Neurospora crassa OR74A: one gene and its partner. The protein of the gene in region 1 interacts with the protein of each later gene in a pairwise test. Links are inferred from orthologs where the notes say so. Each region holds a gene or a part of one and is shown on either strand. Other genes may lie near its edges.

Region 1 (4,263 bases):
GGTTCTTGAAGACCTGGCGATCGACCGTGAACTCGTTGTAGAAACGAATACTGTCCTTGCCCAAGAAGTCGAAAATGACAGTGTTGGGTTCCCTGAGGGTGACGTGCTCGTACTTGAGAGAGCAGCAACCGACAGTCTCGGCCTCGTTCTCGGTATCCTTTTCGTTACCGGCTCTGAGAGCGAACTTGTCAATGAGGTACATGGCCGTTGCGCGTTGCCTGTCAGCCATGACCTCGCTCTTGAGGTCCTTGGTATAATCGGCACGGATGCGATCAATGTATTTCTTGAGCTCACGGGCCTTTTCGAACTTCTTGAAATCGGCCTTGCCCTTCACAGTACTGTTTGCTGCCAACATCACATACTTGTAGTGTCCGTTGATGTTCTCTTGCCACATCGCGAGCCAAGTTGCCTTGTTGTCATGTTGAACGGCCTTCCACTTGTGGCCAGCTGGCGGCTCTGGGACCTTGGCCTCTTTGCCGATGTTGATGGTAATTTGCTCTGGCAAAACACGCTTCTTGATACACCCGGTCTTGGGGTGATCACCGCGACCACGGAAAAGTCCTGGAATTTCCACTCTGGGGTTACCAACCTTTTCTTTTCGCCCATCCCACTTGCAATATAGATAGGGGGCGTCCCTCTTGTCCCTTTCGGCTTTCTCGGCCTTCTTCTCTGCTGACGACCGGGCATTCTTAGCCTTCGTTTGAGCATCTTTGTAAGCCCACAACTGGGAGAAGTCGAGTTTTTCGAATTCCTTGATGTCAACCTTTTTGCCATTCTTGTCCTTGGCGCCACCTGTCCGATCTAGGATCTCCTTGAAGTCCCTGAAGAAGTTCTTCTGGAAAGTTGGGTTCTCAACATTCACCGTCGAGTTAAGCATGAAGCCGAAAAAGGTCGCAGCTTCCTCGGCCTCGATATCGAGTTCGACCGGCGTTCCATCGTAGAGCAGTTTGACGTCCTTGGGCAAACGCTGGTAATCCTCGGGGAAGATGACGCCGTTGTGCTCCAAGGTGGTCCACTTGATACTGTCATCTTCCTTCTTTGCCGACTCCTCCCACCACTTATACTCCTCTTCCTCATCGTCCTCATCGGTGATGTCCTTCGATTCCTCCTTGACGGACTTCTTGACAGCGGCAACCTTGCCCTTCGGGGCGGCCTTCGTGGCAGCCTTTGCAGCCGGCTTTGCAGCAGGCTTTGCAGCAGGCTTCGCGGCAGGTGCCTTCTTCGCCCGCTTAGCGATGGGCACATCCGAGTCAGACTCTTCCTTCTTCACACCATTCGTCTTCTTCGCAGCTGTGCCGTTGACCTGTCGCTTGGTGGGTTTCGCAAGGGGTTCGTCATCGGAGGATTCATCCTTGACGGCCTTCTTAGCAGCAGGCTTCTTGGCCTTGGTACCAGCACGAATACTCTTGGCTTCCTTGGCGGCTTCCTTCTCGATATTGGCCTTCTTCGCGGCGATCTTTCCGAGAGGTTCGTCGTCATCAGAATCTACGTCCATATCCGTATTCTTGGCGGAGGGAGGCAATCTCGCGCCATTTTTTTTCGCAATCGGCTCGTCGTCGCTATCGGAGTCTGGTTGCTTATGTTGTGTTTTTGAACGTTTCGCCTGTCCTGGTCAGCCACAGACCAAGCAAGGATACCAAGCTGCAAAGACTGGGAAACTTACCAAGGGTGCTTCGTCATCACTGGAGTCATCCTTATAGTTGATGGACTGATCAATGGATGTCCGCGATTTGCGCTTAGCCTGACCGCTTACTGAGGAGTCGACGTCCATCCTGTCCTGGTCGACGGGGCCATTACGGATGGAGACACCAACGGGAGCCATGTGAACCTTGGAATCAGCAGCGTCCATGGCACGATCATCGGCCTTGGAGATGGTCGGCGCCGAGGCTATAGTTGAAGAGAAAAGATTAGTCTCATGGGCGTGGTACAATGACAGATTGCATTTAGACGAGGCCATGGAAGGCATGACACGTTGACTCAGATCGGCTGGCAAACAGTGTGACGGGGCAGAGGATAGAGTGAAATAAGCGAGGGCTGATGGATGAAAGTGTGTGACTGATCACAGAAGCATTGACGTACCGTGGCCGTTGACCTTGGCGAGCGGCTTGTCGTCTTCAGAGCCCGAAGACATGGTTGCTAAAGCGTGTTGCGGTGTCGGCACTAGTAGGTACGTACGAATGTGTAAGGGCGCAAAATCCGACCCGTAGAGGTAGCGGCCGCTAAACAGTGGCGAAGGGTTGCTAGCAAGATGTCTGCAGGGCAACCGAGTCGAAAATGTTGTCGTCGGTCGTCGCTAGGAAGGGAGACGTGGAGAGAAAGAAATTCGCCGCTGGAGGTGACCGCTTACACCTTTGACCGTGGACAGAGTCTTGGTGCAAGTCACTTGGTGACCAAGGCTGGAAAGCGAGGGTCTCGGGAACTCGTCAAGGTCTTGGGTGCGCGAAAAATCGAGATGGCCGGTCGAGGGAACGAGTGTGTGAAAAAAAAAAGAGAGAGGATGTGGAGAGCCTGGAGGGTGGAGAGAACCAGAATGGCGCAAGGTGAGGGAGAAGAAGTGAAGGGAAAAAAGCGAAGGCGGAGGGCAGCATGAACGAATTCGGGAAGAGCAAGGGCAGTCGGGAGGCTGTTAAAGATAAATCCTGGGGCTCCACCCTGCAACTCTTTCTGGGCGGTCGTTGCCAGGACCGCCAGGCTGTGGAAGTATCGATGGGTGCTGTGGGTGGGTGGGTGTGTGGGTGTGTGGTGAGTGAGAACTGAGTCTCCAGTCGGGACTCCAGCCAACGGAAGGGAAGGTTTCGATGCGTCGTCGCGGTCGCAGGGGGATGTTCGCCAGGTCCAGTCTGTACCGCAATTCTCCCTGGTTCGCCTGGGTCGGTGCACCTCACCTGCCCCAAAATCCCTGAGGTGGTCGACTTTGAGAGGCCGGTACCTTTTTAGCGCGTCCCCGCTCTCGGTACCTTGAGTCTGAGCGTTCAGTTTCTAGCGTAGCGTACGCCCGTCAGTGTCGTGAGTGCGGTACGTAGAATCTATGGAATGGAAGTTCTCTGTTGCGTGTGGCAAAGACGGGCGCTCCAACAACAGTACGCTAGGCACCACTGGGATCGTGAGCACCCAGCCTCACAATGATTGCTCCAGAAAGCTGAAGGCATACTGACACACCTTGTTCATTCAAACAGAAAAACACCGCGTCGTCTGATCTTCACCCTAGTGAAGCTTCCGTGTGCTTGCTTAATCTGTGGGTGACTTAGGTTCAAGTTATTTACCGTCAAGGACACTGAGACGTGGACGCTTTTGATACAACCGTTTGCAAGGCACTTCCTCGTTCAAGTGAGCACCAAATTCACAACCGGATCGATGCTAAGTAGTTATCTCAGCGCTCAGACCCACCTTGAGCTCCCGGGCGTGCACGGACCTGTAACGAATACCACAATCTCAGCATTTTATTGATAAATTGAATTTTCTTTCCAAACCGGGCAATATTTTGGCCCTCCGCTCAAGGAGGTCTGAGTACACAACTCGATTAGAATCGCGTAGAGGTTGACCAACCCCCCAGAATATCAACCTCAACACTATAACTTCACAACAACACGTCGCATCACGAGGGTTTCTAGTTAATTCGGATCGCAAAAATCACAGCTTTCCAACGGTATCAATTTCATTATCATTACCATAGAGGAAGACTCCCAACACAAGGATGCGCAATCCATTCGCAATCTTCCAGCCCACATACAACATCGTCGTAATCGCTCTTAAGTATAACCATATTACTAACGTACTTCTTTAGCAACTAAACTATTAGGAATTAAAGAATTATTTGCTCTCTCTTCTACTCCATCTAATATTTAAGTCCCGGATTATATATAAGTAGAGCAAGACGTCGATAATAGAGTAAACTACAATAATACACTTATAGAGGATAATAATTATAATATTATTAAAGAGATATTCGACCTTTAGGCTCGCCTCCAATTAAGGTATAGTAAATGCGTAATAAAAGTAGCGATAAAAGGATAAGTTATTAAACTAAAGTCGTTTAATATTAAGGTATTTATAGTAGAGTAGTTTAAAGTTAGGCGTAGAAGTATAGATTTTATTAGTTTTTTCGACGAAAATAACAATATAAAGGAAGCTTTTAATAATAGTAGTCTTATTATTTAGTATACCGTTAATATACCCGATGGTCTAAATTACCCTACTTTTATACTATATAAAGAGATATAGGCCCTATTTACTGAGTTATTCTTCGGATAGTTTGAGGTTGAA
Region 2 (4,188 bases), on another chromosome or scaffold:
TATAGGGGCAATCAGTACATAACATACATACCCTGTCGTCCCCTTTTTAAAGTGACTAGCTATCGGCTTCAGCCTTATGGTGGTGTTGGAAGTGCATGTGAGAAGGACTGCTGTATTTCTCAAGTACGAACACAACAAAGGAGAAAGATCGCTGATGTCTCGCCATGCCTGTTTTCCCGTTCCCTATGGTAGGTCACCATGATACTAAACACCACCATAAAATGCTAAGAGATGAGCTGATGAGGATATGCACCTCCATTCTCCAGAAAAAAGTTTGACACCAGGACGAGCAGCCCTACCCAGCCGTCGACCGCCGGTGATAGGCATGACTCAAACTCGGTCACTGTTCTTCCTATTCCTACTTGTCGGTTAGGTGCACGCTATAAGCGAGGCACGTTAACCTAACCGACGAGTAACCCTTCCGACTTACTCATAACCTGTATCTGCCTCCAAATTGGTATGACTGGGGTAAGAGAAACCCCCCTTGCGCCCCTGAGAAAGTCTCAAAGACAAACCCCAGCAAATAGCAAAACCCGAGAAAATGCGCTATCCCTTTCATACACCTCTCCTATCAACCCTCAAACCATGAAAACGAGACGTATTGTGGTATACTAGTAGTTCCGAAGCCCCAGAGATTTTCCAATGACGCCATGCACGCCCAGCCTACTGCCTAGTCCCCAATGACCCAATACCAACGTGAGGAGCCCTTTCATCCCAGATCAGAACGTGGAATTCTACTCTTCAATCGGATACAGCTGGTTGCCGAGGAGCTTGTTCATTTGGAACATGTTGATTGAGCTCTGCTTGAATACCGCCTGAAGTTTTTCGTCGCAAATAATCTGTCTCTTGTCGCTGGGATCCTGCAACTCGTTCGCTTTGATATGCTCCCAGAGCTTCTTGACTACCTGTGGGCGTGAGAGCTGTGATGGGGTTAGTTTTCGGTTCACGGCCTATTGGACAATGACCACCAACCTGAGCTTCTCCGCAAACTTCCTGGAGAGGGTAACTTAGGTTGAAGGGCTTCTGGAAACCGCCACCGGCCTTGCGCTTTTTGGTCCCTTCCACCTCTTCGGGCTCCATGTCACTATCATCGTCCGACTTGACCCGTGTTGCGCTCTTCTTCTTTGGTGTCTTGGCCTTGGGTTTGGACTTCTTGGTCACCTTGGCTGCGCCTCCACCTCGTGTTCGGGGTCCGCGAGAGAGCTTATTCTCCTGCGCTTGGAGTTCGGCAGCCAGGCGAGCGTCGGCATCCTCTGAGCTCTCGCGCTTTTGTTGCTTCTTAGGCCGGACCTCGATCTCGCCATCGGTAGCAGCGTCATCTTCGTCGCTGTCAGGAGTCGCCTCGGGAGTCGCCTCTTCGGGTGTTGGCTCTTGGGCAGCCTTGCGTGCTTGCGCGGCGTCGAATCGGGCTTCTATCAAGCCTTTGATGGCATGCTATACGGAGTCCAGAACTGTCAGCAGGTGATCGAACAACCGAAACCGGGGAGGGTGCTAGGAGAGCATTGGGGTTTCTATTAGAAGCAGCAAGCCAATGCAGCAGACAAGGCGGGCTTTAGCACCGACTGACCTTTTGGTCACTTAGATCCTTGTTTATGGCCGCTTCCATTTTCTGCCGAATGGCCTTGCGAGAAATTGTATCGAGGTCGGCAGTTTCGAGAATTTCATCGATGACGCGGGCGTAGGTCGCCTCCTCCTCGGGAGTAACTAGACCGAGTTAGCATAGTTTCATTCGGTAGGGGAGACCAGCTTGGGCAATGTTCCTACATTGCGCGGCCATGTTGCCGGTGGTGTAGCACAATACACCCACTGACGGGAGAAATTGGGGATGATTGGGTGCGGTGTCCACTAGAACCTTGTGGTGTTCTAAACTGAAGCTGGGCTGGCAGATGATGTAAGGGCTGGTAGCTTCAGTGGATGGAATAGCTTGCGCCCTGACGAAAAGTCCGGGTAGGAATAATTCTTGGGTGAAGGAAAGTAAACAGCTGCGATTAACAGGTCGCCGACTGTGGCCTAGTTGAACAAAGCAGGAAGTTTGCGGGCGCGACAGCTGACTTTGTTTCAACGCGACAACAGAATGGCCGTTCTTTGCTGTCCGAATTTGGACTTGAAAGACAGGATGCGTATGGGCCGCTGTTTGAACAGCCGGGGGGTCAGGACGCTCAAGATACCGGACAAGAAGCGCAAAGTAGCAGGTTAGGTTTGTCGCTCAAGTAGGGGCGCTTGGAGCAAAAGCCGGTGAAGATGATGATACGCTACGAGATGGTCGCGAAAAGGGAAAGGATGAGTGACCGATCAATGATGGATGATCGAATCATCCAAGACACGACAGAATTGGGTCAACCCTTGGGTGTTGGAGCTGGAGGGAAGAAGGAAAAAAAAGAAATATAAAAAAAAAGACCACGTCCTGCCGGCTCAATTGTGTCGAGTATGCCGGGTGCCCTGATGTGACAGGTATAGATAGAGTAGGGATGCTGCGATGCGATGCGGTTGTGTGATGCCTGCGATCGCGTACGGTGGAGAGAAGGTGTTGAGTTGAGCCTCGAGACGTGTAGGCGCACAAGCAGCGAATTGCAGATTCAGCAGTTTCTTCTTCTGATGCAGATGGCCAGCCCAAGCATGGAACGAAGCGCACGATGACCTCAGGTACCTGAACAAGTTCTGGACGGGAGTGGAGTACTAGCTGAGAGATGCGATTCCTTCAGTTTACCGTGACATTGCCGTCGCGGTCTTCTGTTCAGTTCATTGCAGGCAGTGTCTTGCGTTGCGGCGGCGTCCGGGAGTCTCAGTCCAGTGAGGTCGGTCGCGGTGTTGGTGGTCCACGGTCCGCCAACTGTCCGCCAAAACCGGAAGAAGTGAGGCTGCTTTGTGGCTGATTTGCGACGGTGATTGGTTCCACACTTGGCTTCAAGGGCCCCACCTACGGTTCCGTCTGCCGTCCCGGCTCGTCTGAGATGGAAGGAAAGTGGGGTGGTGTTCAGAGCGGCGATCCCATTTCTAGCCAATCAACGGACCGAATTGCCTACCACTTGCTCTCAGGGCAGTTCACGCTGCCGCAAATCTCCACGCCGGTGGCCGATGGCCGGAATGCGGGCAGCCACGTGATGCGGAAGCCAGTGTTCAATGCCGCCGGAGGACCCTTCGTCTTACAACTCCCAAGACTTTCCTCTTTCGTCCAACTTACACACTCGAGGGAGAGTCGACTTGATCATGTGTGATCACTCTACTAACAATGTCGATTTGGATGGCACCATGGGATGATAGGGACGAGAGATGCTATAAAACCCCTTCTCCTACGTGATTTGGTCTACCTAGCCTTTGTATCGCCCTCGTTCGTCCATTGCTGTTTTGGACGATTCATGGTCAGTTGTGGGAAGAGAATCCGAAGGGACTCCCATTTGCCAACCCCGGGCATCCGTCTATTCAAGTCGGTTAACCCACCACGCCTATCCACTCTCTTGGGATGAATATCGACGTCACCCACCACCTTTGCTCAGTTGGCACTCGACAATCCGCATCAACCAGACCACCTAGGCATATCGCAAAGTTTACGCCAAGAATAAGAAAGAGCATCGTTACCAAGTGGCCCGTCGTACGCGAAAGGCTCCAAGATGTAAAGTGGACTGGAATGTTAGATGGCCAAGTCTAGATGCAGGGACGAGTGTTGATTCAGAACTCCAATACCGAGGTGAATGTGTACGATATGCTGGAACATCCCCAGTTCAGTGCGGCGTGGGATATTCAAAACAATGTCTTGCGTTGAGGAAGGAGGGTAGGAAGAGACAAGAGAAAGCTATCCTGGAACTCTTCGCAGAGCGTGGACGGTGATGCAGTAATATATCCGTGTAGAGGTACCTATCAGCAAGGCTGCAAATACAAGAATTCTCATAGAGGAGAGGAAGAGGTTAGGAACGACCTGCATGATGCACTCCCATGACATCAAGTTGTCGTGTTCAGTTCTTGTTGCTAAACAAATGCGGTACCAAGAGTCCACATGTAGGTCAAAAGACGAGTGGCATTCCAGACAAGTTCATCTCAGCTGGAAACCCTTTCCACCTATGTACTACTGGAGGACTTTTAGCCAGTCTTTCCTCGCTTGATGCGACACGAGCCTCATGTCCTACTTACTACGAGAATGGGCGTGGATAGCCACCATCTCGGGACCGAGCCTGGTCGCCAATGAGATGCCAA

The links.
Region 2: the proteins of NCU09118 (region 1) and NCU02204 interact in a two-hybrid assay, tested with the Saccharomyces cerevisiae proteins (2 studies listed by BioGRID). The link is inferred for Neurospora crassa OR74A from reciprocal best matches to the Saccharomyces cerevisiae genes TOP1 and TRI1.

Annotation. Positions count from the first base shown.
Region 1 is NC_026501.1:5,391,525-5,395,787, forward strand, and holds the start of NCU09118 (DNA topoisomerase I), read right to left. Parts: upstream 2,865-4,263; 5' UTR 2,132-2,864; coding exon 2,080-2,131; intron 1,888-2,079; coding exon 1,664-1,887; intron 1,604-1,663; coding exon 1-1,603.
Region 2 is NC_026507.1:3,338,176-3,342,363, reverse strand, and holds NCU02204 (SWIB/MDM2 domain-containing protein), read right to left. Parts: upstream 2,806-4,188; 5' UTR 1,778-2,805; coding exon 1,765-1,777; intron 1,705-1,764; coding exon 1,568-1,704; intron 1,435-1,567; coding exon 973-1,434; intron 921-972; coding exon 735-920; 3' UTR 158-734; downstream 1-157. Other genes in the region: NCU02205 (hypothetical protein), read right to left, coding at 3,791-3,963, 4,126-4,188. UniProt on the Saccharomyces cerevisiae protein: May be involved in transcription regulation.